2 linked regions of the Arabidopsis thaliana genome follow. The protein of the gene in region 1 interacts with the protein of each later gene in a biochemical or structural test. Each region holds a gene or a part of one and is shown in the gene's direction. Other genes may lie near its edges.

Region 1 (5,192 bases):
TCTTAATAATCTAAAATAAATGTGATATTGTAATTTTGAAGGATGATGTGTACAATGAATATAATGATCCATATTCTAAAACATATTCAAATAAGTTTATTCTAAATACTTTGTACATATATTTACCTTGGTACGATGCATGAGGAGGAGGGAGTTTCCATCTTTATCCATGAGGATGAGTTCCTCGGGTCGGGTTCGGGCATAATTATCGACCCGGTAAATCAAATCTCCATTCGAATCTATCACCGTGAATCCTTCACAACTCACCAGAAGCGATTTTCTCCACACCGTGAGTGTCGTACACGCTCCTCCAATATCTGCGGCAGCGACGGAGACTGTGGACTCTGTAGATGACGGTGCATCTTCACCGTGGACCGACCTCGACCGTTGCTTCAAGAAAGGGAACATTTTTGTAGTTTTGGTGTTCTTGGTTAACTATTTTAAGAGAGTTTTACAGATCTAATTAATCTCAATTCTCAATACAAATATGGTAAGGTTAGGTATACATATGAGATATATATATATAGATCTAATATATATGTGTGTGGATGAAAGATATTAGCTTTGTTATATTATATCATTGTCTTATTATATTATAATTTTTTTCTTCTTTATATCAACTTGCAAAGTTTTTAAATATCGCTACTTGATATTTAAATGCGACCACAAATAATACTTAGTGACAAAACTGTACTATTCTACAAAATATAAAAATAAGAATTTCACCTAAAAAGCTTTAAACGTTTTATTAATTATGAGTCAAAATTTTTAGTGTTATTTGAAAAATAATACAATATGATAAGATATTATACCATTCTATAAGTTAATTAGAATTTTTTTTAAGTTAATGAATACAGGTCATTAGATTTTTTTTTATCACATTACAAATACAAATTTAACGTACGTAACATTTACATTTAGTGGACTAGAACTCAAATCACCCTATTACAGCTTGCATATATAGTAAATTGTTTTTGTTTTATAAGTCCAAAAGGATTAGTCTAAATTACATTGTTTGGTTATCAAAGAAATTAAAATAAAAAATTAGATAAAATTAATCGAAAATGAAAACTTAACATGAAGGTTGAAATCTCCAAATTATTTACTCATCCTTTTTACCAAACTCAAATATGATATTTTTTTCTATACGTAAAACTCAAAATTGTATATACAAGAAATTTAGCTATCTAAAAATAACTATATAATAAGCCATTATAGTAAGCCACAATTTTGACCATCTACGATCTTTTCTTTTGTACGTAGTAAGGTTTGGTGCAAACTTTTGCAAGTAATTAGTATATAGCTCTTATGGATATGGTATATTCCTGATATGAACTCTGATTGGGTAATGATTAGCACTTAGCAAGGTAGTCAGATTTTTGGCTTTGGCACGCATGGGTTTCACTGTTTCAGGATTGAATTGGAATTTTTTTTTGATTAATTAATGTATAATATTTTATACAATATAAAAATATATTACTGTATTAGGTAAGAACTTTACGACAAAAAAAAAAAAATAGGTAAGAACTTTAAGATTATGCAAGGGTCTTAAAACGAGCCACGTAATCTTCTTAGACCCACGATAGTAGATTTTTGAGGTCTCCAAGAATCTCTTATCCTTTTTGTCATCGAATCTCTCTCTCTTTCTGAAGATATATTAAGAAACAAATCTCTCTTTTTCTTCGAAAAGGTTGGTTAGGTGAAGGACAATTCTCATCCACACGATTAGATGCATAAAATTATATATATAAGAAGAAAATCTAATTATATGAAATGGTGGAATTTCATGTCACACTAGACGACGAATCTTCCATATTAAACTCACTTCTAACACTGCATGTGTATGTAATTATGTATATGAATGAATATCCAAATAGAATAATATATTTGGACTAATCAAATTATTGGAAAAGTACATAAATAAATAAGTGAGCTTTCATTGTCAAACCTGATTTTGTTGATCTCTGGGTTTGCCATTACTCCAAAAAATCTTACCTTCAAGAGTGATGTCGACACAGTGGAGCACACGTGTTGTAACACGTGTCATGACTCAGCTCAAAATTGGATCCCACGGAAGAAGTTAGATCTCGAGGCCAAGAGACCAGAGTCATCAATTCAAACCCCACGTGCGTGAGAGTCACTGACTATTCTCCTCTTATCTTCCGGGTCTTCGAAATCCAATATCTCCAAAACGCAGCGTCTTGGTTAATTTTTGAGATGTCAATATATATAATCTGTGACCTTGTAATGTTTAATCAACAGGTGTATGATCATCTTTCATCTAGGAGCATTTTCATTCTATCAACATATTCTCATAACAATTTTACTATGCCTAACAATTTTTTATTTTTACTATGAAATGGATCAGTAATAAATGGGCCTTAATACTGTACCAACAATCCCATAAATGGGCCCAATGCTGGATCCTATCCGCCGACATCTAACGTTCCACTAACGGAGACGTTATCGGGAATATTCACATTAATTAACGACCGTTAGTTCCACGCCAAATATGTTACATCTGCTACAAAATAAATAGTTTGATTTTCCACCGTGGACGGTTACCTACTCGAGGCCCAGACCCGAATCAAACGGACTGGATTAAATGTTTTAAATCAAGGGGTGGGATTAAATCTGAAGCACACGCTTTTATTCGTCACAGTCTCCTCCCACACTCTTCAATCAGTAAAGAGTTTTAGGTTTTTTTTTCTTCTTCTCGGAGGTTTGTAGAATCAACAAAAATGGTGGAAGACCACAAGCACGAGGAATCGATCTTGGAGAAGATTGTTGAGAAGATCCATGGCCACGGTGACTCGTCTTCTCTGTCCGATTCCGACGACGATAAGAAATCTACATCGTCTTCGTCGTCGTCCTTCAAGTCAAAGATTTACCGACTTTTCGGAAGGGAGAAACCTGTTCACAAGGTTCTCGGTGGTGGAAAACGTATGGATCTATCTCTATTTCTTCACTTTGAACTCTGATTTTACTCGATTTTGTATCTTACATAGTGATTTTGCTCGATCTAGTGAATGTTGCTCTAATTTGAAGCTAAAATTGAGTGTATTTGAGTGCTTAATTGTCTGCTTTGCTCGAAAGTACGCTTAAATCTTGTGAAATACTCAGAAACTATGTTGAATCTGGATTCATTGTTTGCATGTAGCTGCTGATATATTCCTTTGGAGGAACAAGAAGGTATCTGGTGGAGTCTTGGGTGCTGTAACTGCGTCTTGGGTCTTATTCGAGTTATTCGAATACCATCTCCTCGCTTTTCTCTGTCACTTTGCGATTTTTGCTCTTGCAGCATTGTTCTTGTGGTCTAATGCTTGTACATTCATCCACAAGTATGTTCTTACAACATCCCTTATATGTTAAGTGTTAAGTATGAGATAACTGCCTGATCAACTGAGTTCTTATCCTCAGGTCAACTCCTCACATCCCGGAAGTTCACATCCCTGAAGATCCTATTCTTCAACTTGTTTCTGGATTAAGGATTGAAATCAATCGTGGTTTGACCCTTCTTAGGAACATTGCATCAGGAAAAGATGTCAAGAAATTTATCCTGGTATTGTTCATGTTATCTACCTCGATGCAAAGCGGTTTTCTTATGTTCCTCATAAATGCTAATACTTGCTTGCACATGTTTTAGGTAATTGCTGGCTTGTGGGTTTTGTCCATTATTGGCAGCTGCTACAACTTCTTGACATTGTTCTACACTGGTAACGATTCATTTACATCTTACTGCATTTAATCTGATAGGAATCATACTTGCATATCTTGATAACCAGCTTTTCTTTCTTGCTTCCAGCTACTGTCCTTCTCTTCACCATTCCTGTACTCTACGAGAAGTATGAGGACAAAGTAGATGCCTATGGGGAGAAGGCGATGAGGGAGATCAAAAAGCAATATGCAGTACTTGATGAGAAGGTATTGCGTAAGGTCATAAGCAAGATTCCAAGAGGAGCTCTGAACAAGAAGAAGGATTAAGGAATGTGAGTTACTCTCTCATTGGAATCGTAGTAATGGTTCAAGACATGTTTTGTTAGAAGCTGTTGGTTGATAAACCCTTTGATCTCTTGTTATTATTATGTTCATTATAAATTTGGGGGTTTTAACTAAAAATATTTAGATTATGAGAGAACACGGATGGATGATAATTATTGTTGTTAGTTATTTGTCTTAGTTAATTTCTCATCCTTTTAACAGCTCTCCATGATGGTATTCGTCATGTCAATTTTGCATCATGTCTGAGGATTGGTCCATACACATAAACTCAAATTGTTTCGTGGGTTTTTCGCTCTTCACTGCTACTGCGATCTAACTTTAGTTCATAAGAATCTTTCTTGTTTTTATTTGACTAATAATATTCTTCCCATTCCATCTCTTTCATCATCTCAACATCTTGTTCATAGGAAAAGCTAAAATGATTGGTATATGAACTAGGTTAAACGCAATTTGATAATTTTCCAAAAAAATTTGTTCATAATTCTTTTGCCAAAATTGCGATTTCACGATTTCTCGACAAAAATAATCACACAAAAAGTGGATTCCACAATACCAAACGCTTTCGGTATGATAACCATCAAATCTGGATAATTACTTAAAGTAAGCAACATACGTAAGGTAGACAACTAGGTGTTAATCACTATATATAGTTTGTAGTAGAAAACAATATCAAAAGTCAGGATGGCCGAGTGGTCTAAGGCGCCAGACTCAAGTTCTGGTCCTCGTAAGAGGGCGTGGGTTCAAACCCCACTTCTGACATTTCTGTTTTTAGTTTTATGTTCAATGACTGGATTTTTAAATTTATTATTTTTCCGATTAAAGTAGATAACTTTTTTTACAACAACCATTATTTTTTTTTTTGTCATCATTTAACCATTTACTTTCAAAAGCAAAAAAACTTAAAGATGAACAGTGACGACAAAAAAGAAAGAAAAGATGAAACAGTGAAAGCCAAGTACAGTCATTTTGATTAAACCGTATTCATTAACCAACTTTTCACTAACTATGGTAAACCAACCCCTGACCCGAACCGAACCGTTCTTGTTTTTAACCAATGATTCATTCAATCAGAGTCTTTATCCGTAGAAGTCAATACCTCCGTCTCAGCCGCACCCAAATCCGGAGCTATTCCGGTGCCGTTGTACTGCTGAATCACCAAAACCGATGCTTTTGTCGAAGATTCCGGCGAA
Region 2 (6,055 bases), on another chromosome or scaffold:
TTAAGAGTAGGAAGTGAAACATGTTTCTCAACGTAGCTTTTGGTAGAAACCTCAATCGGTGGCGCCATTGCTGCAAAACAATGCACATAACAATTCATAAACAGAACAACAACCATAATATATGCATCTCTGAAAAGCAACAAACACAAAATATGGGCTCAAACTTTACAAATGTTTTAGTTCCCCTAGATCATGGAAGATAAAACCATATTTTCATGAATTATACTAAAGATCTCTGTGCATAAAATAAGTTAAATATATAAATAACAATCTTCAACACCTGGGGAAATCAATTGAATACACACAACGCAATGGTGGACACAGAGACACAAGATACAAAATCTAATAAAGAGAAAGTTACAGAAACGTCCAAGAAACGCATAATTTTTGCAGCAGTTCACGAATCCATAAATGTCTCCACCGACAAAACCGTTCCCACATGTGTATAAAGCGAGCAAAAGATCAAAATTTTATTTATACAAAAAAACAGGGCACTCTCTTGAAATCATCTTCAGATAAAAAGCAATGGGCCTTAAGAGAAACGAGCAAAGATTTTCTCTTTAATGGAGTTTGATAATCTAAAAATGTAGATATACATCACAAAGATTGAATATTTTGGAACCCAACTCAGATCTACAAGTCACAAAGATCTCTCGGGGGAACAAAAAAACTCGTTCATGGCTTATGCAAACAGATTAAAGACACCCAATCCCAAAACCCTAGAAACCTTCCGAGGAAGAACAAATCCGATTGAAAGAACATTTCGAAATCCGTACCTGAACAAATCGACAAATCTGAAATCTCCCGAGATAAAGTGTCGTCGAATGAAGAAGAAACGCAAGCACAGATCTCAAGAAGGATAACCCAAAGGAGAGAGAGAGAGAAGCAAGTGTAGAGAGAAAAGCTAAAGGAGAAGAAAGCTGTGACTAAACGCGTTCCCGCTCTATGTCTCTGCTTCTGTGCTATTTGAAGACTCCATTTTTTAGTTTAGAAAGAATATTAATATTTTTCTGGAAGGAAAACAATAAATTAAATTCTCTTTAATTTTGGAATATGTCCGGACCCGAAAGTGTCAATGTGGCAAGATTTTATTGGATGATGGAAAAAGAGACATAGACGGAATTCCTAACGGCGGTGGGGTCAACGTAAGGTTTGGCTGTCTGATACACGTTAAAGTGACTCGGATTGCGAGGAGTCCACGTTAAGTCTCCGTTAGCTACTGTTAATTTGGGGAATATGCTGGAGAGAGTTGAGATCAGGTGTTGGCGAGTGCACCGAAAATTCGTGTTCAGATTTATGACATCGCAATTTCTCTGTCGGTGGATTACAAACTGCAATCAAAAGAAAAGCATATGTTAATCTGTCAAGTGAATATTCGTTTTTATTTTCTTTCTATACATAATGTATATGGATAATTCAAACAAAAAGATGTGTAAAATGATAAATATGGGTGTTTATCGTATTTTATATAGTATTAGGATTCATGCAAAAATGCATGGATTGTCTATGATAGTAATTTTGGTAACTATTATTTTTTTATTTTTTTTATTTTTTTTTTCAGCTGGTAACTATTAAATTAGTAGAATTTAAAATAATTTATACTTTTAGGATTCCTATGATAGTATAGGATTTCTATACTATTTTGATATTAGGAGTTTAAAATAAATTACTAACTTATTATTATTTTAAATTATTAGATTTATACTTTTAAAAGTATTAGATATTATATGGATTTTTGTTGTTTACAGCTCTTTTTTTTTTTGGTATTTGAACTCGTATTATAATCGGTTACTGGCATTGATTGATACAAGTCACCAATTACCATCACCGTAAGCACCGTTTTATGATTAATTTTTATGATAAATATACACGTGCATTTCAAATAATTACCATTTTCATATCGGAAGGTTTTGGATAATCTTTCTGACTTTTTGTATGGTAAGAGTTTAATGAGATTGGGATAAAATTGGATAAACATGAATCTCATTGTAAATTGGAGTTAAAAGCATTAATAAGACGATCACATTAACGTAATAATTGCAGTCTACATTCAAAACAAATCTGAGAATGTATGCTTTAACTTTTTCCTTTAATGTCAATGGAATCACTCTTCGTATCCATTTAGAAAAGGAAACTAGATCGTATAATTTAGGAAAGGCTTACGTCGTGTCGTGTCATTCCCTAATTTTTTTGGATAATAGTTAGATATCGGAAATAATTGGATAAATTTGGATTAACATAGAACTAAATAGTGTAAGAGTAAAAAAAAAACATTAAATAAGACAGTATAGGGGCTTAAACTTTTTTGTTACCTCAAGGACGATATTTTAAGTAAAGTTAGCTTTCCTTTAATGTCAATGGAAACACTCTTCGTATCCATTTAGAAAAGGAAATGGATCGTGTAATTTTAGGAAAGGCTTTCGTCGTGGCATTACCTCATTGGTCGTGAAGAAGTGAAGATGTGGACTTGTCCGCAGCGGATGATCGGTGGATGGGGTTGAGTAAACGAATGCTCATGCAGTACATTAGATGCTACGTAGGATCATTGTAGATTCCTATCCACGCTTTATTCTTTGGATGATTATTTGCTTAACACCGACGACAATATATTCAAATTTCCTCAATTTGTCAATCGCTCTCTTTTTGCCTAACTCTTATTATTATTATTATTATTTTGCCTAACCTTTGCGTCCCCTTGGAGTTAAATAATTGAGTTTATTTACAAGTGAAGGGATTGAAACAACTTTTTTTTTCCCAGAGCTTAATCGCAACGCAACTCAGAACGAAATATAGAAAAATACATATACTGTATGAATATACTTCATCAATTCTGTAACCTGTTGGGTTGGATCAGTAAGAATAAACTAAACATTTAGTGGACACCAAATCATAAATTTAGCACACAAAAATAAAACTAGCCCAAGGCCCATGGTTCGAAATTTATCAAACCGTAACCGAAGACCACGCGCCGGACCAACACAGATCTCCACGAACAAGATCCAACGGTCCAGATCCATTCCCTCTCCTTCTCCCTCTTCTCTCTAACCAAAAAAAAAAAAAAAACTTCTGAATCTCCGAAAAAAGCCAATCGGGGGAAGAAAAAAATTCAACGGCCGTCTGGTTACTGTCTTGCTTGCTTCCGACGATCTATCTTCCCCGAGTAGATTTGGTACTTCCTTCTTTCGATTTTTAGGTTCTACACAATTGATTCTCGATTTAAATTTTGTCTCCAGTTTTTGCTCTCTTTGCTTACCAGTGATCCGTTTCTCGGAAATTACTTGATTTTGTTAAGAAATGGCTGCTCCTCCTGCTAGAGCTCGTGCTGATTACGATTACCTCATTAAACTTCTGCTGATCGGAGACAGCGGTAGGTTTCTATATCATTCAGATCGTAATACTACCTTTTGTTCCCTGCATTTTATTCAATCTCTATCTTTTTGTTGATTGATTCTCTCGATTTTTGTTGTTGTTGATTACAATTTAAGTTTTGTTTGAAGGATCTTGAGACAACAGTGATTTGAGTAACACATCTTACTCAGATTTGGATCTCATTTCAACAATTGTGAGCATATGATGTTCATAGTCTTCTTAGTTTGGTATTAGGATGGAGGAGAATCACAAATGAATGCTGTAGCTATTTAATTATATTCTCTAGATGTTAATGCCGCAAATGCTTTAGCCAAATTGATTTGAATATTCCTTTGTTGATTGTTGTAAGTAAGTGTTTCACTATGTTCCAGTGGATTATTCTAATGTCTCTGTTTTATCTGACTTTTGCTTTCTTTCATGTACCAGGTGTTGGTAAGAGTTGCCTTCTCTTACGTTTCTCAGATGGCTCGTTTACCACCAGTTTCATTACAACTATTGGGTATGATGTCTTCATGCAATGACACTGTGTTATCACGTCCTCTATGTAGTTCACTGTTCTTACTCAAGTTGCTTTTTGTTTTTGACAGGATTGATTTTAAGATACGGACTATTGAGCTCGATGGGAAGAGAATTAAGCTGCAAATCTGGGATACTGCCGGACAGGAGCGGTTCCGCACAATCACAACTGGTGTGTTTTCGATCTTGCTTTTCGTTTTCTCTTTTTGCTGTTATTTATGCATCTTTGCCTTCCTCGCTGGAATACACCTGAGTAGTTTGTTCTTATTGCAGCGTACTACCGTGGAGCCATGGGGATTTTGCTTGTGTATGATGTGACTGATGAATCATCTTTCAACAGTAAGTACTCTCTTTACTTTTTACTTGCAGTCCTTATGCCACCCAACAAGCTCTTGCAACGGTTCTAAACTTTATATTTTTCCATTTGCTAGCTTTATTATTTTCTACTCAACTAATTTGTTCTTTTTCATCCTTTGTTTTCTTCAATTCCAGACATCAGGAATTGGATCCGTAACATTGAGCAGCATGCTTCTGATAGTGTCAACAAGATTCTAGTTGGGAACAAAGCAGATATGGATGAAAGCAAAAGAGTCTCTTCTTTTACCCTCCCTCCTATCTTCGTCCTGTTTAAATATTATATGTTTCTATTTGGCTAATACACCGATTTGCTTTGTTTTTCCAGGCTGTGCCAAAATCTAAGGGCCAAGCTCTTGCAGATGAATATGGAATGAAGTTTTTCGAGACTGTAAGTTGTTGTCTATGTTTTGTTACATTTCAATAGATATAGGGAAAGGTCTAATTCTTTTTAAATGGTTAACTTTGATGAGTTTGCTAATTGCAGAGTGCCAAGACTAACTTAAACGTTGAGGAAGTTTTCTTCTCTATTGCTAAAGACATTAAGCAAAGACTTGCAGATACCGATGCACGAGCTGAGGTTCGTTTGAGCTATAGAATTAATTTCCACTGTCATCATTCATACATTGCAATTGTGGTAAAAATCACATTTCAGTATGTGTATCAACCTTACTAACGTCATCGAATTTCTTATCATTTTTGTAGCCGCAAACAATCAAAATCAACCAATCCGACCAAGGTGCGGGAACATCTCAAGCTACTCAGAAATCAGCATGTTGCGGCACATAAAAATTGGGTCCACGACGCCTGTCAAAGGAGAGAATCTGGCTAGTGAAAGAGAAATGGTATTTGGAAAGAAAAAATGAAAAAGGAAATCAATCTTCTTTTGCTTTTCTTCTATATGAGATGGTGTTTCTACGTATTCTTTTAAGATTCTCTCTTTCCCTAATGGTATAGTGTGACTGTGAAGGACACAATTCGTATTCCATATTTCTGGAATGGATTCTCTGACATCAGATTATGACTTATGATAATATCAGTTTATCTCACTCACACACCAATGATATTGGATTCTATGTATACATTCGAGAATGGTTCTGTTTCAAACTTTCAACTATTAATGTTTTATCACTCATTGCAAGAATTGAAACCTTTTATTCAAACAAATTGTGTATGCATACATGACGGAAAGAATGAAATAATGTGTAGCAAGAGAGAAAAAAACAACAACAAAAGTACAGAGAAAGGTTTAAAACCCTACTAATTCACAAACTTCAAATCAATTTGTGGAACCAAATTCTTCCCAAAGATTAACACAAGATCATTTTCCAATGGAGTTAGATTTAAGTCCAAGATCTCCTTGCTGCTACTGCAACGATTAAAAACCGGTCTGGAATAAACCACAGAAGGGACAATCGATTGCTCGGTTATCATGCTCGTCCTATGCTTTCTCATGTGACCGCCTAGAGCTTGACCGGTCCCAAACATTTGATCGCAAATTGTACACTTATGCATATCATTCTCTTTGTTACGATGCTTCACCTGTTCTTGGTCAACGATCAGCTTAGGTTTCTTGTGGCTAGCTCTATGACCTCCAAGAGCTTGGAAGGAATCAAATTTCCGGTTACACGTTTTGCATTCGAAGTGGTTATTATGGTTCGTTTTGCTTCCGGTAGATTGCTTTACATCGATTTGTTTGACCACGAAACTTCGAGATAACATCATTAGACTTTCTACTATGTCTATATGCTTCATGGATTCTTCGTAATCGGACCGGTCTCTCTTCATGTTTTTACGGTTGTATTTCGAAAAGAGA

Evidence for each region. Proteins that work in one complex are often made in the same cells at the same time.
Region 2: the proteins of BTI3 (region 1) and RAB8 form a complex in vitro, tested with the Arabidopsis thaliana proteins (one study listed by BioGRID).

The regions. Positions count from the first base shown.
Region 1 is NC_003076.8:16,633,489-16,638,680, forward strand, and holds BTI3 (VIRB2-interacting protein 3), read left to right. Parts: upstream 1-2,540; 5' UTR 2,541-2,741; coding exon 2,742-2,943; intron 2,944-3,160; coding exon 3,161-3,341; intron 3,342-3,420; coding exon 3,421-3,562; intron 3,563-3,646; coding exon 3,647-3,716; intron 3,717-3,805; coding exon 3,806-3,984; 3' UTR 3,985-4,420; downstream 4,421-5,192. Other genes in the region: AT5G41590 (LURP-one-like protein (DUF567)), read right to left, coding at 127-408; CHX18 (cation/H+ exchanger 18), read right to left, coding at 5,066-5,192. UniProt on the Arabidopsis thaliana protein: Plays a role in the Agrobacterium-mediated plant transformation via its interaction with VirB2, the major component of the T-pilus.
Region 2 is NC_003074.8:19,875,504-19,881,558, reverse strand, and holds RAB8 (RAB GTPase homolog 8), read left to right. Parts: upstream 1-2,766; 5' UTR 2,767-2,864; coding exon of another isoform or gene 2,865-3,017; 5' UTR 3,018-3,169; exon of another isoform or gene 3,170-3,292; 5' UTR 3,293-3,294; coding exon 3,295-3,367; intron 3,368-3,795; coding exon 3,796-3,868; intron 3,869-3,956; coding exon 3,957-4,057; intron 4,058-4,158; coding exon 4,159-4,224; intron 4,225-4,377; coding exon 4,378-4,475; intron 4,476-4,567; coding exon 4,568-4,630; intron 4,631-4,726; coding exon 4,727-4,819; intron 4,820-4,944; coding exon 4,945-5,028; 3' UTR 5,029-5,327; downstream 5,328-6,055. Other genes in the region: PPa4 (pyrophosphorylase 4), read right to left, coding at 1-68; AT3G53611 (uncharacterized protein), read right to left, coding at 2,865-3,017; AT3G53600 (C2H2-type zinc finger family protein), read right to left, coding at 5,500-6,027. UniProt on the Arabidopsis thaliana protein: Involved in membrane trafficking from the Golgi to the plasma membrane.